Drosophila melanogaster: one gene and its partners. The protein of the gene in region 1 interacts with the protein of each later gene in a pairwise test. Each region holds a gene or a part of one and is shown on either strand. Other genes may lie near its edges. The genes, in order: CG4496, CG11076, tj and Poxm.

Evidence for each region.
Region 2: the proteins of CG4496 (region 1) and CG11076 interact in a two-hybrid assay, tested with the Drosophila melanogaster proteins (one large-scale study listed by BioGRID).
Region 3: the proteins of CG4496 (region 1) and tj interact in a two-hybrid assay, tested with the Drosophila melanogaster proteins (one large-scale study listed by BioGRID).
Region 4: the proteins of CG4496 (region 1) and Poxm interact in a two-hybrid assay, tested with the Drosophila melanogaster proteins (one large-scale study listed by BioGRID).

The regions. Positions count from the first base shown.
Region 1 is NT_033779.5:7,184,980-7,191,688, reverse strand, and holds CG4496 (uncharacterized protein), read left to right. Parts: upstream 1-1,678; 5' UTR 1,679-2,204; intron 2,205-3,620; exon of another isoform or gene 3,621-3,742; intron 3,743-4,047; 5' UTR 4,048-4,052; coding exon 4,053-4,857; intron 4,858-4,922; coding exon 4,923-5,860; 3' UTR 5,861-6,209; downstream 6,210-6,709. Other genes in the region: CG4497 (uncharacterized protein), read left to right, coding at 1-287; MICU1 (mitochondrial calcium uptake 1), read right to left, coding at 6,397-6,551, 6,615-6,709.
Region 2 is NC_004353.4:1,029,158-1,032,644, reverse strand, and holds CG11076 (uncharacterized protein), read left to right. Parts: upstream 1-1,669; 5' UTR 1,670-1,834; coding exon 1,835-2,674; 3' UTR 2,675-2,934; downstream 2,935-3,487. Other genes in the region: ATPsynbeta (ATP synthase, beta subunit), read right to left, coding at 692-755; mitochondrial inner membrane protein MPV17, read left to right, coding at 3,396-3,487.
Region 3 is NT_033779.5:19,462,500-19,468,276, forward strand, and holds tj (traffic jam), read left to right. Parts: upstream 1-1,767; 5' UTR 1,768-2,256; coding exon 2,257-3,792; coding exon of another isoform or gene 3,793-3,924; 3' UTR 3,925-5,259; downstream 5,260-5,777.
Region 4 is NT_033777.3:8,330,785-8,335,352, reverse strand, and holds the start of Poxm (Pox meso), read left to right. Parts: upstream 1-1,560; 5' UTR 1,561-2,228; coding exon 2,229-2,238; intron 2,239-4,568.

The DNA of each region.
Region 1 (6,709 bases):
TCAACGACCTGGTGGATGATGCCACTCTGATGGACGATGCCAAAAGTGAGACCTCATCGATCGGTGGATGCTCCACCATTAGCATAGAGTCATCCTCCTGCGATAGTGGTGCCAAGACGGCTGCCACTTTCCTGAATCGCCTGGTGGTTGATTCCGATGGCGGTGGTTCGCCGCTGGCCCAAAAGAGCTTCTACATTAACAAGCAGGGATTGTCGGGCGCCAAGAAGTTTGTGGTCAATCACGAGCGAACGGGAGCCGTCAGCAAAGATGTGCCGCAAAAGCTTTAAGAACATACACAGATTAACTTAGTTTAGGGGTCGATTTTAGGAAATTCTAAGAAATGCTTATAATCTCAGGAGCCAAAAGTTAATCATTGCTGCACTTTAGCTGATTTGTTTTGAATGCTTTAGAAAATATTTTCGAATAAAATTGCATAGCTTGATCATTTTTAAGTTCTAAAACTCAACCAAAGGTTTTGTTATAAAAACCACAAGCAATATTTTTTTAGAAAGAAAATTGAATTAAGAATACCTTTGGTGTAATATGTAAAGGATTAAAAATGGTTTAAAATGTATATTTCCCGTAGTGTTCAAAACAAATCTTCGTGGAAGAGACAAAAGATAAATTAGTGGTACTTTGATTTTTGTTTAAGAAAATCGACCCGAAATAACCAATTACACACACACGCTTAAGTTGAGAGTTTCAAAAGATCCTCCGACTTGCTTAACTTTAGATCGTAGCTTTGTTGTACATAGTTAAGTTGTTTGTCTGAAGTTCTAAACCATCTTGCATATCATTTAACGCTGCGCACTTCCCTTCACCCCTAGAATCAATCGGTTTTAATATGTTAGCCTAAGGTTCACTATACTATATATAGCCAGAGTTTATTGCCTCGATCTTTGTGTTATAGAATGTTTTCCCATTTCCAATGTTTCGGTTAATAATCGACGTACATTAGTTTTGTTTTTAGTCGCCACCTCACCCCTTAGATATTAGGAAGAAAACCCCAATTTTGCCAAATATGTTTATTCTATGCTTATGTGTAATAATATATCCAGCATTATATTGCCTATAATGTGATCCAATTTAGCGCGGATATCTGCGCGTATCCCACAAAAACCTTACTGATATAGTAACGCATATATTATATAGATTTACGATCCGATTCTAATTATCGTAAGCGAATTTACATAGTTTCAAGAAAAAAAGTTATACTTAAAAAGGATCCAAAAAGAAATACACATTTTTTCAATTGATCAAATTGTTTGTTTTCATTGGTTGGCTTAAACAATTAACTACTATATAAATAATTAAATAAATATGTTAACTAGATTATAAATAGCGACTTAAGTAAAAAGTATCTCGCGGGCAGTGAACTTGACCATATTTTATGTACATAAGATACTAAACCTAAAGCAAGAAAGTGCCTATTCAAAATGAGTATATTTCAGATAGAAAATGCACAATTCCTACGGCCATAGCATTCATTACTTTATAAATATTAAAAGCAGGTATAATTTATATTATTATATATACAACTTTTATGAGTATGCCTAGAATAACGTCGCCCAGCGTAATATCGTGCCAGCCACATGAAGCACCTGCAAGCTCGAGTAAGTATCCACATACACGATATGCACACACACGCACCGAAAAGTTCGAACACCTGGGTAATGAGAAGCCGAGCATTGCTCCCCAAATCCCCAATCCCCATTCGCAAACAGCGACATACTGGTTTCCCCACACAGATAGGACACAATGCACATGGCCAGATGCTCGTGCCTTGAACACGGACGAACCAATCCCGCAGACCAGAAGATAGAAGCCAGGGACCGAGACCGACCGAGACCGATAAACCAGGCCGTTTCCACACGGACCAAGTCGAGTGGGTGTCTGTGGACGTGTGAGGGGATCCGATACAAACGAGTTTTATAGCAAAAAAAAAAAAAAAAAAAAAACAACAAAATAAGATAACTAAGCGCTGCAGTCACGATCGCCAATATTTCGAGACCGAGAGACCAAAGCAATCGGGAGCCTAGCCCAAAGCATTCGAAGCGGATCTGGGAACCTGGCTCCATATATCACAGGGGCAGAACCCCACTACCCACGCCAATGGAATACAAATTAGAAGAAAACACGCTATCCTAGGCAGCCAAAAGTGACTCAAAAGTGATTATATAAGTCGGATGCGAAAAAATATAAAGGTGAGTTTGTCTCTTCCTGTTTAAATATGGTTAGTTATTTAGAATATGTATGTATGTATAAGATTATCTCTTAATTGCTGAATGCTTTAAATTTATTTAATTTTATTTGAATTTAATAATTATTTAAATCACAGGATGAAGGATGAGAAACATGTTTACGTTTTCAAAATCGAAAACTAGTCAAATTTGTCGTATATGGCTTATCGTAAAGGCTTATACTAAACAAAACGCGAATATTAGTAATTTTTCACCTGCAAGCCATTTTTTAACACTCCATAAAAAACGATCGCGGGTTTTCAGGCATTTATGGGCATTTTACCGAAGATCGCCCTGAAAATGGAAAATAACCAAAGAAGCGGCCAATAATTAAAGTCAATTACTTAGATATATGTACATATGTACGAAGGTACATATGTATATACTTGCATAAAAAGGAAACCAACAACAAAAAGCTAAAAATAAGAAGAAAAGCAAATGCGAATAAAAAAAGTTGAAGGCGCACGGTTTTACTTTAGCGCTGCTGCTCGGACGTCAATAAATTTTTTTTCGACGTCGACGTTGACGTTGACAGCGGCGTTGGCGCTGGCTACGCCGTTGTTGTTGCCTTTTACGCTTTGGTCACGCTGCTCCCTTTTCGTTGCTCCTCTACCCCCTCCCACCGCGCTCTCGCCATGCTTCCGTACTCCCACTCGCCCACTCTCTCGCCCACCTCCCCCTTGATATCACTCTCCAGCTCTCTTTTCGCCTCTCTGCACGGGCGTAAGCATTTGCGTCGAAGGGGGTTATTTGCCCCAACCACAATAAATACTTTAAATTTTTAATCCTACATTATCGTTCCTATTTAACAAAAAGCAAATTATCTTTTTTTTGGCATTTCATTGAAGATTAGATCGTTGTTATATACAAGTATATATAGTAAGGAATTCCTTTCACTCCTGGTAACCTCACCCCTTCTCATGTCCTGCCTACGCCCCTGCTCTTGTGAGCAATCTTGAAAATCGTGAGTTGTTGTTGCTGCTGCGCCTGTTGCTCCGGCTGTAATTGCATTGTTTTTGTTGTTGCCCTTGTTGTTGTTGTGGGGCATTTTCTTTGTTTTTCGTGTTTCGCTCTTGCGTGGCCCCAAGAAAAATCAAGTTAACACGCCAATGGGCAGTGGTGGGAAAGGGGGGCTAAAGGCTCACGTTCGTGCACACAAAAAAAAAGCCTTAAGCGCTGCCCACATGGTTGTTGTTGTTGTTGCTGCTGCTGCTCTGCTCGCTTCGCTGATTCACAAGCCGGGCAGCGCAGTCGGCGTCAACTCGAAGCTCGACTTTTGCGGCGTTTTGTTGTTTTTGCCGAGAGGTTGCTGCTCGGCAAGCCGCAAATCGCGAATCGCGAATCCAGTTTCTTCTTCACTTCTTCGCACGGCAGACGCAGCGCCGAGCGCACAAATTGCGGATAAAAAACGAAAGAAAGGAGCGAAGCTTTGTAAAGTGTGAGAGAGGGGTGTGTGTGCAATCGCAGAATTCATTCGATCGGAATCTCCTGGGTTATCAATGGTTCGTATGCGACTTGTCCAGGATATTAATATAAACCAATACAGGCTATTCAATGTGATCGATGGAAATGTAGTGCCCTATAATATATTCTTTTTTTATGGTTTGAGAGGTTTTATTGTGATTATTCGATACTAGAAAGTACGCTTCTTGGAAATACTGATAAGTGCCGATTTATCCATAGTAGAATGTGATTTATATAAAACACGCCTACATGTATGCAATGTTTTTTTCTGATAGTACAATGATAGTGCAATTCTTACGTTCCTTTCTTAAACTTTTCTAAATTGTTTATTGTAACATTGCAGATTTGATGGAGCTGGCTCTGAATAAACCATCATCCTGCGTGGACTGCTGCAAGGACTGCACTCTGCTGCCCTGCTGTTCTGCCTCCGCCTGCTGCGACGCTAGCTGCGACGCCGCCTGCGGGTTAATACCGCCCGATCCAGTCAGATATGAGTACCAGGAGCCCGAGGAGAACTTCATATCCATTGATGATGTGAAAATCAAGAGTTTCCTGTGGCAAATCGGCCAGCAGCAGAGGGAAAAGGAGTTGGAAATCAAAAGGATCATGGAACAAGAGAAAAGGGAGAAAAGAGAGAAGGAAAGGCGGGAGGCCGAAAAGCGAAGAGATCAAGAGGTAATCGAATTGGACGAGGAGGAGGCTCAATCTCCTCGGGGTCTCATAATCAGCGCAGCCAGGAGTCTAGCCCATTGGAATTCATCCATTAGGAGGGTAACACCAGATATCGAACTGATTCCCAGACGGGTGCACAGGGTTGTCGCAGAAATCGAACTGAGTGATAGTGATCACGATGAAGATAGTGAAGTAGATGAGGATGTAAGTCTTCCATCAAACGCTGTAAGCTGCGTCCTGAATGAGCAGAGACAGGATGGAAGCCAGAATCCACAGGAACTGGTGATCATCGTGCCCTCCGACCAGGAGGACGAACAGAAGACAGACAATGTCATCAAGAGGAAATCTTCTGGGTCGAGGAGATTAGTAAAGAGGCGTCCAGGTGCCAACAGAAGGGGAAGGCATATGTACGAATGTCCTGACTGCGGGAAGAAAGTGCAATCTAATTACAATCTAAGACGTCATATGATGATCCACACAGGTACGAAACTTCGCATAAAATATTCAAATACCTCCACTTATCACTTTCTACTAAATTTTCCCCAGGTGAAAGACCATTCCCTTGTGATCTGTGCGAGCGACGTTTTCGGGAATTCAGCGATCTTAAAAAGCATCGTCGAAGGCACTCACACGATCCACAATTCATTTGCATGATCTGTCACTTGGGAGCACCTTTGGAGCAGGACTCTACAAGGTGTGCGGATTGTGAAAGCAAGAATCTTATGGTAAAACCTCAACCAGAGGAACTGGGCGAAAAAACAACGGAGGAACATTCGGATGAGATGGAAGGGGATGATGACGAAATAGAGGAAGCGGCTCTAGAAAATGAGAAGCAGCCACAAGTGGCAACACAACCCAGTTTAATGGTTACTTTAATACCACCTATTCAATCTCCACCGGAAAAAGTTCCTTCACACACGCAGCCAAGTCGCCCGCCACTTCCTCGCAGCTGCAGCAGTGCCAACTCCTCATCTTCCTTGAGCAACGATGGAAATATAGCTGGAAAGTCCATGAGTCGCACTCGCAGATCTTATCCGTGTCCTTTGTGTCATCGTCCTTTCGGAACTCGTCATAATCTTAAACGCCACTATATGATCCATACTGGCGAGAAACCATTTAGCTGCTCAAAATGCAGGAAACCCTTCAGGGAGTGCTCCACGCTCAAGAAACACATGGTCACCCATGTCAGGGATCGCTGGTACAAGTGCCTGAGGTGTCCCTCCAAATTCAGGGACTATCTGGAGTACTCGGATCACAAGAACAATCATCAGGATCAGCTGAGTAGCCGCAAGTCGTCCATTTACGAGAGTGACGACGATGGCGACAGTTCTGTGGAAGATTGCCTAGAGTGCTGCGAGTGTCAGCAACGATTCACCGAGTTGGATGCTTATACGGCCCATCTTAAAAAGCACGACTTGGAGTTGTACGGGATGAGCATTGATGATGTGGCGGACGAGGAGCAGGATGACGTAGATGTGGCATAGAAAATGTTTTGAGCCCACAATTAATATTAACTGCGCGAGAGTTGTAAACTCTTGGTCATTCTTTTTAATGCATAAAGAGGATTGAAAATCCCATATTTCATATAAATTAGCTATTAAGGATCATTAAAACATTCCTTATTAATATATTCATATCTTTTTAAAGTGTTTTATATCACTATTAATTTATTCATTCATATTCTTTTTTAAGCACTTATAATACACTTTTGAAATGTAAAATGTAACGTGCGCCATAATCCAAGAACTGAATGATGAGCTACAGCAAAAATTCCTAAAGATGTACTTATTTATAAATATAATATTTTTATTAAAAAATAAACGAGTTAAGTGCACAAGAGACGGTGAAATATACAGAAGACAGTCGTCAACCTGCCGGGGGTCGAACAATTACAAAGATTGAGCTAAAATCGATTGATGTAAACGTTAACTACAAAAATAAATAGTAAAAAGCGTAAGCGTAGGAAAAAGTGACTAAGATTGGGGCGCTTGAAGCGGGAGAATCCACATAGTGACGATCTTTAGATGTCCAGCAGCACAGGCTTGGTTTCCTTGGCGCACTTGAACACCGATCGCATCATCTTTAGGAATCCTGTGTCTTTGGGTTTCTCCAATCCGCGCTGCACGCGATTCTTCATTACCGAAATAAATTCCTTGTTGCTGAGTTGGTTGTCATCTGAAAGAGGTTTGCCGAATGAATTAAGATTGTTATTCTAATTACACTCAATTACGAACTTACTATTCTCATCAAAGATGGTAAAGACCACATCCACCACATGATCCGAAAGATTGACCATGGCCACCGTTTTGGCCACATGTTGCAATGTTTGTTGG
Region 2 (3,487 bases), on another chromosome or scaffold:
GTTTGCTAATTTATATTGCCAGCGTATGAAAAGGTTTTCTTAATACCCCATATGTAAAGCTAATTGGTATCATTTTTTAATAAAAAGTACTATCAGTTTATTGATTTTCCTATCACTAGATACCAATATATACAGATTTATGTTATACTTAACGAAAGTGATACTAGTAGAATACATCATCGTAAAACTTAAACAGTAACAATTTGGGCATCAATATCGACAATTTTTAATATTATTTTTTAAGATAATGATGAACAATTAATATTATACTATTAATTATTAATTTAATTTTTAAGTAACTTTAATTTTCAAAATACTTTGTGAAGAATTCAATTGCAATATAACGAAAAAAAAATTTATTCAATTTAAAACGTCAAACAATATCGGCATACAATATATGTACATACCTAGTTAACTTACAGAAAGACGTACACGCAAATGTCTGACTAAAAAAATCTTTTTTTTTTTCAAAAGTCGTTTAAATTGAGTACTGTTATATATGTTATAAAACAGAAGTAACCTTAAATCATTCAAAATTGTTATGTAATATTTTTTTTCGCTCGTAACATTTTATTGAACGATAGGTTATGTTCGACAATTGCGCTATTAGCCAAAGCACATATTTTGTGCTGAACTTCGCAATTTAATACAATTGTTATCAATTAAAAATTTTTATTTTTGTGCTACTTACACAATTGCCCCAAGAATGGCAGCAAATTCTTATCGGCTTTAGATGCAGCACGTAACGCGAACATTTTTCTCGAACTAACTGAGAAGTGTGCGGGCGAGCAGAAGTCCTAGTGATGAGCAAATCGGTAGTCGCGATATATTGAGTATTTACGCTTCCAAAACATATCGAGGTTTTAGTATTTTTGCGTATTCAGACCATAATGTGGACTTACGTTGTTGTTACCGCACCAGGAGAGTGTCCGAATGCCACTTTTATATATACACAATGAACTGTAACTGTTGTGGTTGCCCGACACTAACGACTGATACACCCATGAAAAGGTGGTTTAATGGATTGCAAGCTGATGTGGCTGAGTAGAGGTAACTGCACCAACAAAAATAAGTAAAACAAGAGAGAACGCAAGTACGCAAGAGAAATTTAAATTATTTTATGGCTTATGGATAGAATTTGGAAAATATATGACAAAAAATGATATTAATAGTGGTAGGCGTGACAGTTTTGGGCGGCGTGTGGGCAATAGATTGTGCGTTGCAGCATCGATGAAAAAACTTGCCCTGATTCTTCGTCTCTGGAATGTTAAGTCTCAACTTGTTAAATCACTATCTAGCTTTCGTAGTTCCTGTGATCTCGACATACAGAGGGACATGTGTAGATCGACTCGGCTGGTGATCCTGATATGAAGATGATGAAGAAGATATGGTTGAAAAAGCGAGTAAACAATTCTTAGTCAGTCTGATTGGCAATTAATTTTTGTTTAAAAGATATCAAAAGCAAACAAAATTTTTCGATATTTGTCTTAATACAATTTTTGTCGGCTTGTCTGCCTGAAGAAAAGCGTTATTTTAAAACCTAAAAAATAAATTTGTTTATGTTAAACTGGTTGGTATGGGAAACTTAGGGTTTATTACTTTTGCTAAGCCCTTCCATTTTAGCGAGAAACAGCTATAAACATTTCCTTCCTACCCATCGCTAAAATCTAATAGTTTATCTAGGTTAGGGGTGTTTACGCTTACAAACACATAACTACAATATTTACTCCTTCAAATCATTTTAAGTTATCGATGCATCGATATTTCCCTTGTATTTTTCCACCTGTACCACGTGTGGTCATTTTCTGCAATACATTGATTTCCCCAACGCTCAATGAAAATAAGTAAAAAACTCTTTTCCCGCCAGGAGGAAAAACCTCGGAGCCAATTTCTGGAGGAGGAACAGTACGTGAACCTGACCTCAGGCGCGGCTGCTCGTGAGTGCTGCGGGGATGCTCTTTGGGATTTCGATGGTCAGACCGACGAAGCCTGGCTGGTCCAGTGTCCCAAGGGTGCAGATCCACATCTGCTAGTCGGCAAGCGCATTAGGCTTCCTGGCAGGAAGAGCGTGGGCGATCTCCAGGTTCGTGCCGTCAAAAACTCGACGTTACAGAGCGAGGCACTGGGCTATTTGAGATCTATGGGTCCCTATGCCCTCCGGAAAATTCCCTTTGTCGGCTATGTGGTAATCAGCAAGCGTCTATATGATAAACAACCGCTACCAGGTCAGAAGGAACATACAATTCAAGCTGATCTAACGCTACCCAAGTACCTATTACGAGAACGACATCCGTTGTTCGGGCGCAGCTACAAGCAACGCATCCAATTACCGAAGATGATTTCCACATCTCTTAGTCAAGCAGACGAGAAATTCTTGGAAGCTACTGCCAAGCTTCGCAGCACTGCTAACTACTACAAGATCCGGAGCAAGCTGCACACCACCACACAGACGCTAGAACAAAAAGAGGACGATGTGCGACAGTCGGTGCTTACCGGTCGTACGCCGCAGTTCATGAAGGAAACAATAATCCCGGATCTATATAAAGATCTCTTAGACGAAGAGGACATCGAGAAAAATATAATGAACCCAGCAGAGGAAGTTGGTCCTGCCAAAATGCGCAAGAAAAAATTTAATTCAAACGGTCACAAAACGGGAAATGCAGTAGGGAAATAGACAAAAGAAGCTTAAATTAAATGAAAGCAACGGCCGCTAATGACCTGGACGAAGTAATTGCACAAGAAGGCTTAAAAAAGTCGAATGGAAACCATTAAGAATTAGAGTTTACTTAAGATAAATTCACATACTTACGTAATTAAATAAAAATATGTAACGATTTGGATTATAGATTATCACATATAAGCTGCATAAATTAATGTAGTCATTTAATAACGAAATAAAATTGCACTTTGTCAAGGCGTGTTCACAGCACTATGAACAGCTGACGTTAATATCAGTACCTTAATAGTTGCGGAGAAAGAGCGGTGGTTAAAGTTAAGATTTATATTTAAAAGAATATTAAGAATACGCGTTGCGCATGTTCCGAAAGAGATTTCTGTGCTAAAACAGTTCGATACTTAAAACGTTTAAGTTATTTTACATTACATTACATTAAATTGCATATTGAACGCAATTTAACGTTTTCTCATTCGGCATGTAACAATTAAAAGGACTCACGCGCGTTAAAAAGTTGAATACGCTAGCATAATTTAATTTAAATAATTATTCAGAGTTGCCAATTTTTGTCACTTCAGCAATTGACACCAATCACTTTGCGATTATTAGGCAACCCTTTAAAACTACACGAACAACAGCAAATCGATTTCTCAGTTGTGTTTTAATTGCGTATTTAAAACAATTTGGATCGGGCTATGAATGGAACTGATCTCTGATAAGGATGAAGAGACTTAAAGCGTACCTAAAGGATGGCATCAATGTGGCGGCGGTAATGTGTCTGGGCGATACTATATCCCAGTTCTTTTTTGATAA
Region 3 (5,777 bases), about 12 Mb from region 1:
ATATCCCACAACAATATTACATCAGAGCAATCTGTTTGGCCAGCGAAGACAAAACATTTGCTCAAAACAAAAAGTCAGAAAAAAGGGGTTCAAATTAAAGTAAAACAAGAGCGCCCCGTGTCCAAGTTGGGCCGTCGGAGGCTCCTAAGTTCTGTACTCCGTTTCCGCTGGATCAGCATAAAAATGCACCTGTGCACCATGGAATCCTTTGGCCCAAGCAAACACACACATGCCCATGGAGTGGGCAGTGTATTATATACGAGCCAAAACAAATCGAGCGACTTATCTCGGCTAAAACATCTCCCATTGACTTATGCACTGGAAAATGGAACAGTGGACGTGGATGTGGACGTGGATATGGATGTGCCTGTGCTTGTGCGACCCACTCCTGCATATACTTTCCTATGTGGATATACATATGTATGTATGTACATATGGGCACATCCATCTCCACCTCCATCACCGACTTCGTGTGGATGGCCAGCCAAATGAGACTGGAAGTCGGCAAATGGGGCTATGCGGGAATTTCCGTGGTAGTTGCTCATAAATATTCAGACACCAACACACTCGCAGATGGGGAGAGCCACACCGACACACACACGCGCACACAGTGGCAAAGTGGGCGGAGTCGACGACAGCATAAAGTGTGTCTGTGTGTCTATGTGTGCCATTTTTTATGCGCTCCATGGCAATTCAAAAACGCAAACAATAAACCGAGCAGCAGAGCAGCCACACCAACGGTTCCATTCCACCACCAACAAAGTGAAATCCCAGAGCATAGATTTGTGCTCTTGCACAGTGGTCGAGGTATTGGGTATCAAGGGCTTACTGAAACATTACTTACGTGCTACATGTTCCGAAATTTAAACATTAAATAGCTCATCAGTATATATAAAATTTAATAATGTATATAGTATATAATAATGTATATAGCATAATGCATAAAATATGTTTTTCCATGTCCAATTATAAGGCAATGCAGTCAATTTTCTGGCTTGTTAAGTCGCTTTTTTAGACTGTTAACAACATCAACATATTTGTTATTGGTGAAGTAATGTTCTTTGACCAGAATGATTGTTAGTCAAGGGAAGCGATTTTAGCTAAGAATTGATTGAATTTCCACGAAAAGGTCTAAATTTCTTTAAAATACTTAAAAAAGAACGTGAAATTAATAGAATTTTGTATAGATATTCAAGTGTTGTAACATTTAAAGCAGATCAAAATATAATCGCTTTTTCAAAGTTCAAAGTTAGTCCTTTAGCTATAAAATATTGTATTTGATTTAGACAACTTAAACTTGTCAAAATGTACGAATGAAATTATTTTATATTTGCAATTTTTTATCCCACTGTGCAGTGCATCGAATCTACGAAGCTTTCCCGGCTTGACTTTTGTTGTTGTTGTGCGCGAGAGCAGCAGCTGCCGGCAAAAGCACAAACAACAACTACAACTACAACGAAAGGCACTCTCTCTCTCTTGCGGACAAGTGCCTCCCCGCCCTTTCGCCTCTTTCCTTCCTCTAGAACCGTCATTTCCACGTTTCCAACAGGAGTTCCCTCGCACCAAAAGCAAAAGCATCAGCGAATGGCGTTCGAGCTCGGTTTTGTTTGTTGTTGGGCTGGTCGGCTTTTTGGTTTTGGCAAGTCGTTTTGTTTGTCGGCTGTTGGGAAAAGGAATGGGTGTGTGTGTGTGGGTGTGCGCGCGCTGCGCTGCCATTCTAACAGTTATCATCAAGGGAACAGAGCATCCAGAGCAGAGCTTCCAGAGCAGAGCCACCCTCCAGTCAGATTCAGTCCGACCTTAGTTGAAACGGACACGGAGTTCAGTCGCCACCGTTAACTCTTTCACATTGGACGCGAAAAGCGCGTTCGCGAAATTAGTGAGCAAAATTGGAAAGAGAGCGAGCTTACAAATGAATTAAGCGCCAAAGTGCGGATAGTGATCGCTTTAATAAAAGCATACTTACATTTTAAATCATAAATAAGCAATCCAATCTTTTACAACGAAATCTAAGAAACCGGCATCGAAGTAAATATCTAACAGATTCTGGGGTAACCCCAAAAAAAAACGTAACCTAAATCCTGAGATCAAGATAAAACTTAGCCGCAGGCCGAAAGCGCCAGTGCCTGGTTCCGTGACCCCCGATCGCGTAGTTGACCTTTGAAACCACCCACTAACCACCACCCACCAATCAGCACGGTCACTCCCTTGCATGTGAGACCCGTAATCGACCCTCTCCGGTCCCTGGTCGATCCAATGAAAATGGAAGATCCCACCATAAACGACACGTACGTTCAGGAGTTTGATCTGCACCACCTGGAGGTGGGCGGAAATGGAGCTGGCCAATCGCATGGAGCCGGTGCCGCGTCCCAGGTCACGACTTTGGGCCATGTGAAGCGCGAGGATCACAGTCCACCGCAGCCGGTGGCGGTTAAATGGACGACAATCCACGGCGATCCCACGAATCCGGACGATGACCCGGACTCGCTGCCGCTGTCCGGACCAGAGCCCGCCGGAGCAGTGGAGGTCTCGCCATCGCCGCACATCAAGCTGAGGTCCTTCTCCGGCCATCACCAGTGGCACATGGACGAACGGCGCCTGCAACCGCTCTCTCCGCCACCAGAGCAGTATGGTCCGCTGCCCGGACAGGCGATTCTGGTGAACACATCTTCGGGAGCGGGCGTTCCGGGCGGAGTGCCCTCAACGCCGCCGGAAACGCCACCAGTAGTGGGCTCGCCCACGGGCAGCAGCAGCTGTCCGGCTCAGACTTACGCACACCACTATGCGAGGACACCGGGCAGCTCCGTATCCGTATCCGCCTCCGCCGCCGCCGCAGCTGCTGCCTCCGCCGGAGCAGCATCGGTGAGTGCCGGACTGAGCCATGACATGATGTGGCTGACCAACTCGATACGGGCGGACCAGCAGCCGCTGGATCTGCGGCCTTTGCCCTATCCGGGCTCCCAGGAGGAGGCGGAGGAGTGGGACAGACAGCGGGACTACGCCCTGCAGGCGGCGGCAGCTCATCACCACCATCACGGACAGCCGCTGATGCAGGCGCAGCATCATCCGCATGGACACGGCGGTCATCCCCACCAGGTGATGCTGCAGCAGAGCAAGTATCCGCACCACCATCACCACCACTTCCACAATCTGGAACTGACGCCCATCAACATGCACTCGAACTCGTACGGTAGTGCTTCGGGTGCCCTGACGCCCACCTGTCTGCCCCAAGTGCCCAGCAACGGGAGTGGCAGCAGCGGAGGCGGAGGAGGCAGTGGAAGCGGGAGTGGTGGACCCGGCAGCGTGGGTGGCGGCTCCTGCGTCATCACACGGGCTGCCCTTCAGCCGTGCCGCCCGCTCTCCGCCAGCTCGACCAGATCCTCGAACAACATGTCGCCCAGAACCTGTTCGGGTGCCTACAGTAATGCCACGCTGGAGGATTGCCTCAATGACGACATGCTGACCACGTTGACGGTGCGGGAGCTGAACAAGCGGCTCCATGGTTGCCCACGGGAGGAGGTAGTGCGTCTGAAGCAGAAGCGACGCACCCTGAAGAATCGCGGCTATGCCCAGAACTGCCGGTCCAAGCGACTCCATCAGCGCCACGAACTGGAGAAGGCCAACCGGGTGCTCAACCAGGATCTGCACCGCCTGAAGCTGGAGTACTCGAGGGTCTGCCAGGAGCGGGATGCCCTCATGCAGCGTCTGCAGCGGGCGGCAAATGGCGGAGTCGGTGCGGGAGGTGCAACCGCCGGCGGCGATAGCCAAAGCTCTCCGGAATTCTACCTCTGACGCCAGCTGGCGGTGGCCAGCGGCTCCTCCGCATCCTCATCCTCCTCCTCGCAGCAGCAGCAGCAGCACCCCCAGCAACTTCATCTCCAGCATCGGGGTCCACAGTGGAATCCCCAGCAGCTGGTCAACTAAGTAGAGAGCGTTCCGTGTTTAAGGTACTTTCACAAAGAGTTGATCATTTCCAAGAGCTTTTCCTAGACACAATGTATAAGGTAAATTGGTTTGATTCCAAGAATGTTTTCCAAATAGTCTCCACTCGAAAGAACATGTTTTCCAAAAAGAGTTTGTTAAAGCGTTTCCAAGGGGTTAGATGTCAGAATTCAAATTCTGTTTGTTATACATTCAAAATGATTTGTGTTATACCACGCGTTATTGTAAGTTTGTCCCTATTTTTGTGTATTCTTAAAAATAATTTAGTAACTAGGTTGGATTTTCAAGAGAAGTGCATTCCCATTACCACCACTGTTGATATTTATTCCCTCATTAATTTAAAAACATTTCCATTTAATCAATAATGCTGAAAAATTAGGCGGTTTCCGCAGAATTCTGTTTAGCTATGTTACTATGAAATTTATTAAAGGGGTTTTTAAGCGTTTAATTTGCCATTATTCTGATTGCGACAATAAATTCCGATGAATATCAGTTTGAGAACTTGGAAAGTGATCGACAGAGATTGAGATAGATGAGATAGAAAGTAAAGTGCGAGAGAGAGAGAGAGAGCGTGTTTGGATGGAACTTTTGCTGATTATCAGTTTGACTAAGGCAAAGATCGATTATAAATAAAACTAATTGGAACTCGTATGTATAAAGGACAAACATTGTATAAACCCAAGGAACAAAAACAAAAAGGTAAATTAACTAGCGGCTTCTGATTATCAATCGCTAAATTATTACAAAGTACGAGTTAGTAACACACGCTTATTTGTTGATTAGTTCTAGCCTTAGTTTCCCTACTAGTATTAAGCGAAACAGAAGCGAATTATAATATCATAGATGCGATAGTTGTTCTAGAGGCCGTGCTTCCCCTGCCGTTTCCGTTTTAGCCACACCGCCCGCAAAAATTCCAATCCTTCAGTAGCAATACATCTAATAAAACTAAAGGTTGTATTAAGTTAAAACACCGCAAGCTGGAAGAACCGATGTATAAAGTGAAACTGGATCGAAGCGAAGAACAAACTCAACTGAAGTAAACTAACAAACTAACAAAGTCCTATACAATTTAATGAGCACTGAAAATGATGATCGAAAATAATGTACATACACCCACACACTTACGTATAAAGATGAAAAGATGTAAATTTAAGATTTTTTGAATGCATTCAGATTTCTGTCTTTGTGGAACTAGAAGAAACACACGCGAATACTGAGCCGGAAAATTAAAGATTAATTACAAACTAAAAACAATTGTGAGTAGTTGATAAGTGTGCATAAAACAATTTAGTAATAAATAAATCTAAATTAATGAATAATCCTATGTGCGTTCTTTCTTGGGCGCTTCCCTGCCAGCCAAAAGGTTTGCAATCTAACTAGTAAACGTTAGATTTCAGTTTCAGTGCAACTGTAAACATTGATACGGATTAAAAGATTCATTGAATGCTCATGAACTGAGAGTTACGTTCGTTTCTTTGGATGCTTGATAGTTTAAACATTGAAGATCGTAAAAATATAGAATGCTCAGTTTTTCATAGTATTCAAATTGTATTCTATTTTGTCCCCATGCCACATTCATATTCATATCTGGGTTTTAGAAACCACCGAGTGGGTCTCAGCTTGCATCATAGATTTTGGGTTTCATCTCGCCGTTTTCCGAGAAGTGGCATCTTCTGTGTGGTCTGTCGGCATGGATAAATGGGCTTCCAGCGACGACGACCCCCGCGGGCAACAGTTTAAGAATCAAAATAAACACTTCGATCCCGATCCCTCTGGACTTCGATAAGTTATGTCAACAAACTTCGGTCGCGTAACGGCGCATGCAGGAGCTCTGG
Region 4 (4,568 bases), on another chromosome or scaffold:
AGTTTAAATTTTTTAAAGTACATTGTAACTATAAGAATTATTTGTTTTAAAACAAAGGCAATGTCGGAAATGGCGTTCGTCAAACCACAAAATGCAGGGAAATGCAGTCGGCAATGAGCAGAAATCAGAAAGTGACAGGGAGAGGGCCAATTGGATTCGCAACAAAAGGTATGAGCAGGTAAGCGTAAGCCAACTCAAGGAGGTGTGTCCAACGCGCAACAGTGTGTGTGGGCCAAAACACACACACACGCGCACTAAGTGCACACACAGCCATGCTAAACAGCCAGCGAAGAGAGCGAGCACAACATTAAGAATAGCAAGAGCGGCGATTTGACCATTTTAATGAGGGAATGACAACGACAATTGGCATCTATCATTAAATGGCGGTATTCAGAATTAGTGACAATCAGATGAAGACGGCATTTCTTATAATTAACTCTAACCAAGCAAGACGCAACGCCTCAGCGAGAGTTGGCATCACGCATACGCCGCATTGGCCGGGAGGTGGATCCCTGGGGATCTACGGGGTTAGCTGTCTGTGCCGCTTTATTAGCGATATGGCTTTCTTAATGAACCAAAAATAGATGCACGCGCTCCGAGAATTCCCACAGCCCCGCCCCTTTCCTTTTCCTTCCGTTTCTCTCCTTCTATCCTTCTCCCTCGGCTCCTTTTTCGTCTGCTCCTCATCTGTGTGACACTAAGAAGTCATGACATCGCTCGCCCACCCTGCGTAACGCTACGGATACGCTTACTTGCTTCAGATTGGCCATTCAAGCATTCAGAAATTAACTCCGCCCGGTTGCGTATGCTCACTCACTCGGTTCGGTTCGTCTGTGTAGGTATTGCAGCGGAGAGAGAGCGAGAGTACGAATTCCGATCCATGGATACACCCACACATCCGTTGGCACACAAACACAAAGTTGAGCGACTACAGGAGCGGTAACTGGGGAAAAAAGGAGAGATGGGTTGTTAGCTTAGTTTATTATCCATCAGCAAGAAAACGGAAATATGTTATGATAAATAATAAAAAAATTGTATAGATTATTGTGTATAACTTGATGTAATAAAGTCTTAAAAACCTTCTTCTAAACTTCTGAATTCGATCTCTTTATTAAAATATTTAATTTATATGAACCCTTTACTTTAAACACTTACAAGATATTTCGATACCAAAGTTACTGGCGCCTTAACTCTTCTGGGCTTACCCTCAATTCGCTGCCTGCGCTCCTGATCGCTGAAAGACATTCTTCATTTTTATTATTTGCCCGCGGTCCACCAACAAACGCACACCAGTGCGCGATCATCGCCATTAAAACCCACATATACGCTCGACCGACCGCCCCTTCCTCTCACGGATGAGTGTGTGTGTGCTTGCGGAGGAGAATGCGGAGAGTGAGAAAAAGAGAGAGCGAGATCTTGGGATGCTGCGTCGACGCGGTGGCTTCCACTTCCACTTGAGCCTGTAGATGTGGATGTGACTGTGGCTGTGGTGGTGATATTCAATGTGTGCGTGGACGTGGATTGTGGGCGATCTTGATCGGCAGCGCCGCGGGCAGCGTTAGTCGCAGCAGACACGGGTGACGAGCAGCAACGATCGTTTTTGGAGAGCGCGCCAGGTTTTCCCGATCCAAACCGTTCCCAACCGATACGCTACGACCCGATACGCTAGAGCAAAAAGGCCATCGAAAGATTTAAAGGCGCGCGCACGGATCAGTGAATGCTGTTTAAATCGGTTCATTTGCAAACCATCAATCGCACGGGAGGTCCGCCAGTCAAGTCCAAAGTAAACCGACATAATTCCCAAAATCAAAGCATAACAAACCCATTGTAGTGTCATTAAGTGTGTGTAGTTCCCGCTTCCCCAATAAGGTGTGATAAGTGCGTGATAATTTTCGAGCCAACCTACTCGAGAGCGATCGTTTTGGCCCGAAAATGTGCTAATCAGATCTCAGTCTTGGTTCACGGCATAGTAGGCATCGCAGCCCGATGCTGTCCCGCACAACTGGCGCCAATTTGTATACAAATTTCATGCCTTAATTGAAACTCACATTATAGCCAAGTGCGAAAAGTTAACGACTAGGTAACCACCGACAATCCCCAGCAAAGCAGAGTCCAACTATTCCGGCGAATCCAATCGGAGAAAGTTCCACGGCGGAGTTGGCGAAAGGCAGATTTGGGTGCCCACAATTGCAATTCTGGAGTTCTTCAATCAATTGCCATCGGCCGAAATGGACCCAGGTATGTCTCAATCCATGACTCACAAAGATATAGGCCTCAGAATTCATTTCCAAATTAAAATTTTTAGATCTATCGGCATTTTTGAGGTGCCGACGGCATTGGGTTTCTTTAAAAAGCGTAGTAGCTATTTTATTGATAGATTTGGGTTAATATAATCAGAAAAACAAGAATATGTATATTGCAGGAAATATTGATAAGACTTTTGAAATCACATTTCCCTCTCTATCTTAAAATATAAGGTAACGAAAAGACAAATTCAAAAGTAGCACTATATTTTCACTTAAATCTCTTAACTTAAGCCCGCCACTCGAGTGTTTTGCCAATAAAGCCCTCTTGTCCGATCCTCCAGCCAAGTCCTTATCCGGATCCCCTAACTGCTTGGGATAAACACAATCGCTCGCTGGACCAACTTCTTTTTTTTTTTTTTTTTTTTTTTGGGCAACATCAAGAGGCAGATGTTTGCTTTTGATTTTCGTTTCAAAAGGCTGCCGTCGCTTGGCGCATGATCGACAGCCTCGCGGTAGCCGCGGCACTTGTTTGACTTTCGATGATGTCGCCGACGTCCGCACACGTACCCGATTCCAAAACCCAAAACCCTAAACCGAAAATCCAAAACCCATAACCCCAATCCCAATCCCAAACTCCGGAGCCAAGGCTCCTAATTTAACTAATGATCGTTGTAATGTTTCTGCCTTTGTCGTGCGGTCTTCACTTTTGGCTCCAAGTGTCCGTGTCTCTGTTTGTCCATGTGCTTTGGGCCAAAAGCAAAATGCGAGTGCAAGACATGGCCTTATGGCCGAAAACTACGCTACACAAGTGTGTAAAGATTTGATCAGTTCTCTCAGTTGTTGACAAACATGTGCGCAATCGAATAATTTGGCATGCGTCGATTTACTTTTACAAATTTCGAATTGCTTAGATCATCTTTTGAAATAATTTGCCAATAGTTTTCAATTTCTATGAGTGACATACAAGTGTGACTGACTATGGGTAATCTTTTATAATGGTATTCCCCACTTAGTTTCAAGTATTTATTTGTTTGCTTGAGCCTCTTTATGGCAAAGTATCAAAAGGACATACACGAATATATATTTTTCCACTTGTCCGAGCTGAAAAGAAGTTATAAGTCGGCTAGGAGGTCCCGCACTTTTGGTCCATTAATGACATGCTTTCGATGTTTTGACATTCTGTTTGTACGCCAGCATTGTTTGCTCACTAGGAGACGTCGAAAAAGATATAGACGCCGATGCAGACCCATGCTCATGCCCGAACCCAAACCAAAACCCAGACTCTGGACCAGAGGTGCAGAAATGCGTGACTAACGGCCACCGGTAGCCATCTACTTCGGTAGCTAAACATGAAAAGCCCACCAGACGCGGGCCGCAAGTGCAAGATGTTAAAATCACAGAAGGGGCAGTAAAACAAAAGGCGCAGACGATGGCCACGAAAGGCAGGCAAACACTTGAGATCCGAGGAGGAAAACGTCGCGTCAATGTGTACATGCCTTAATGGAAGAGTCTATATGGTATGGGAGTAGGTGCCCAGGAGCAGCGACTGCGGGAGGATGCGGCGGGGACTGATCTGAAAGCCCGACCAGTAGCTTCCTCCCGTGGATACCGATGATTGCGGTTCGGGTTTGGGAAAACGCTTCACTGCCTCGGCTTGATTGTGTGGCGTCGTTTCCCCTGAGTTCTTTAATTAAATCACATCCCCGACCGCTGATGCGGAACATTCATTAAGCGCATTTGCAGTCATTTTGGGCATTGCTCGGCGAGCTTAAAAAAGTTGCACTAAATAGGCTTTGAGTATAATTAAAACCTCCAAAACCCTTTGCATTTTATCCTTTGAATAGTATGTTCTACTTTTTGTTGTAATATGCTAGGTTTCTCACTGTAGATCAGTTGACATTTGCTCCCTTTGGGCGTGGACATCTCCCCATGGATCCACAACCTCTGACATCTGACAAGTGTAGTTCATGTTCTTGGAAGCAAACTCAGCTCATTACCATATATTTAATGAGTTTCTAATCGTTAGGGGGCACGTGTTTGAGCCAGTTCATTCTGGGATAATGAATGCGATCGCATCAATAAGCGGGCGGCTAACATCTGGTTCTAACCCCTAACCCCTAGACTCTAACCCCTTGAGATGGCCTGTGTCAAGTCCCATGGGGGCGATGGCGACCCAAAACCGGAACTGCCACAATCATTCCAAACTCCATTTCTCAGTCTCGAATTTGGAGTCCTAGGATCAGAGCTGTGAAACTGGCTATTTTCCAGCTAGCTCTAGAAGTTCATTTCATACAATAAAATGATATGAAATTATGTAGCTAA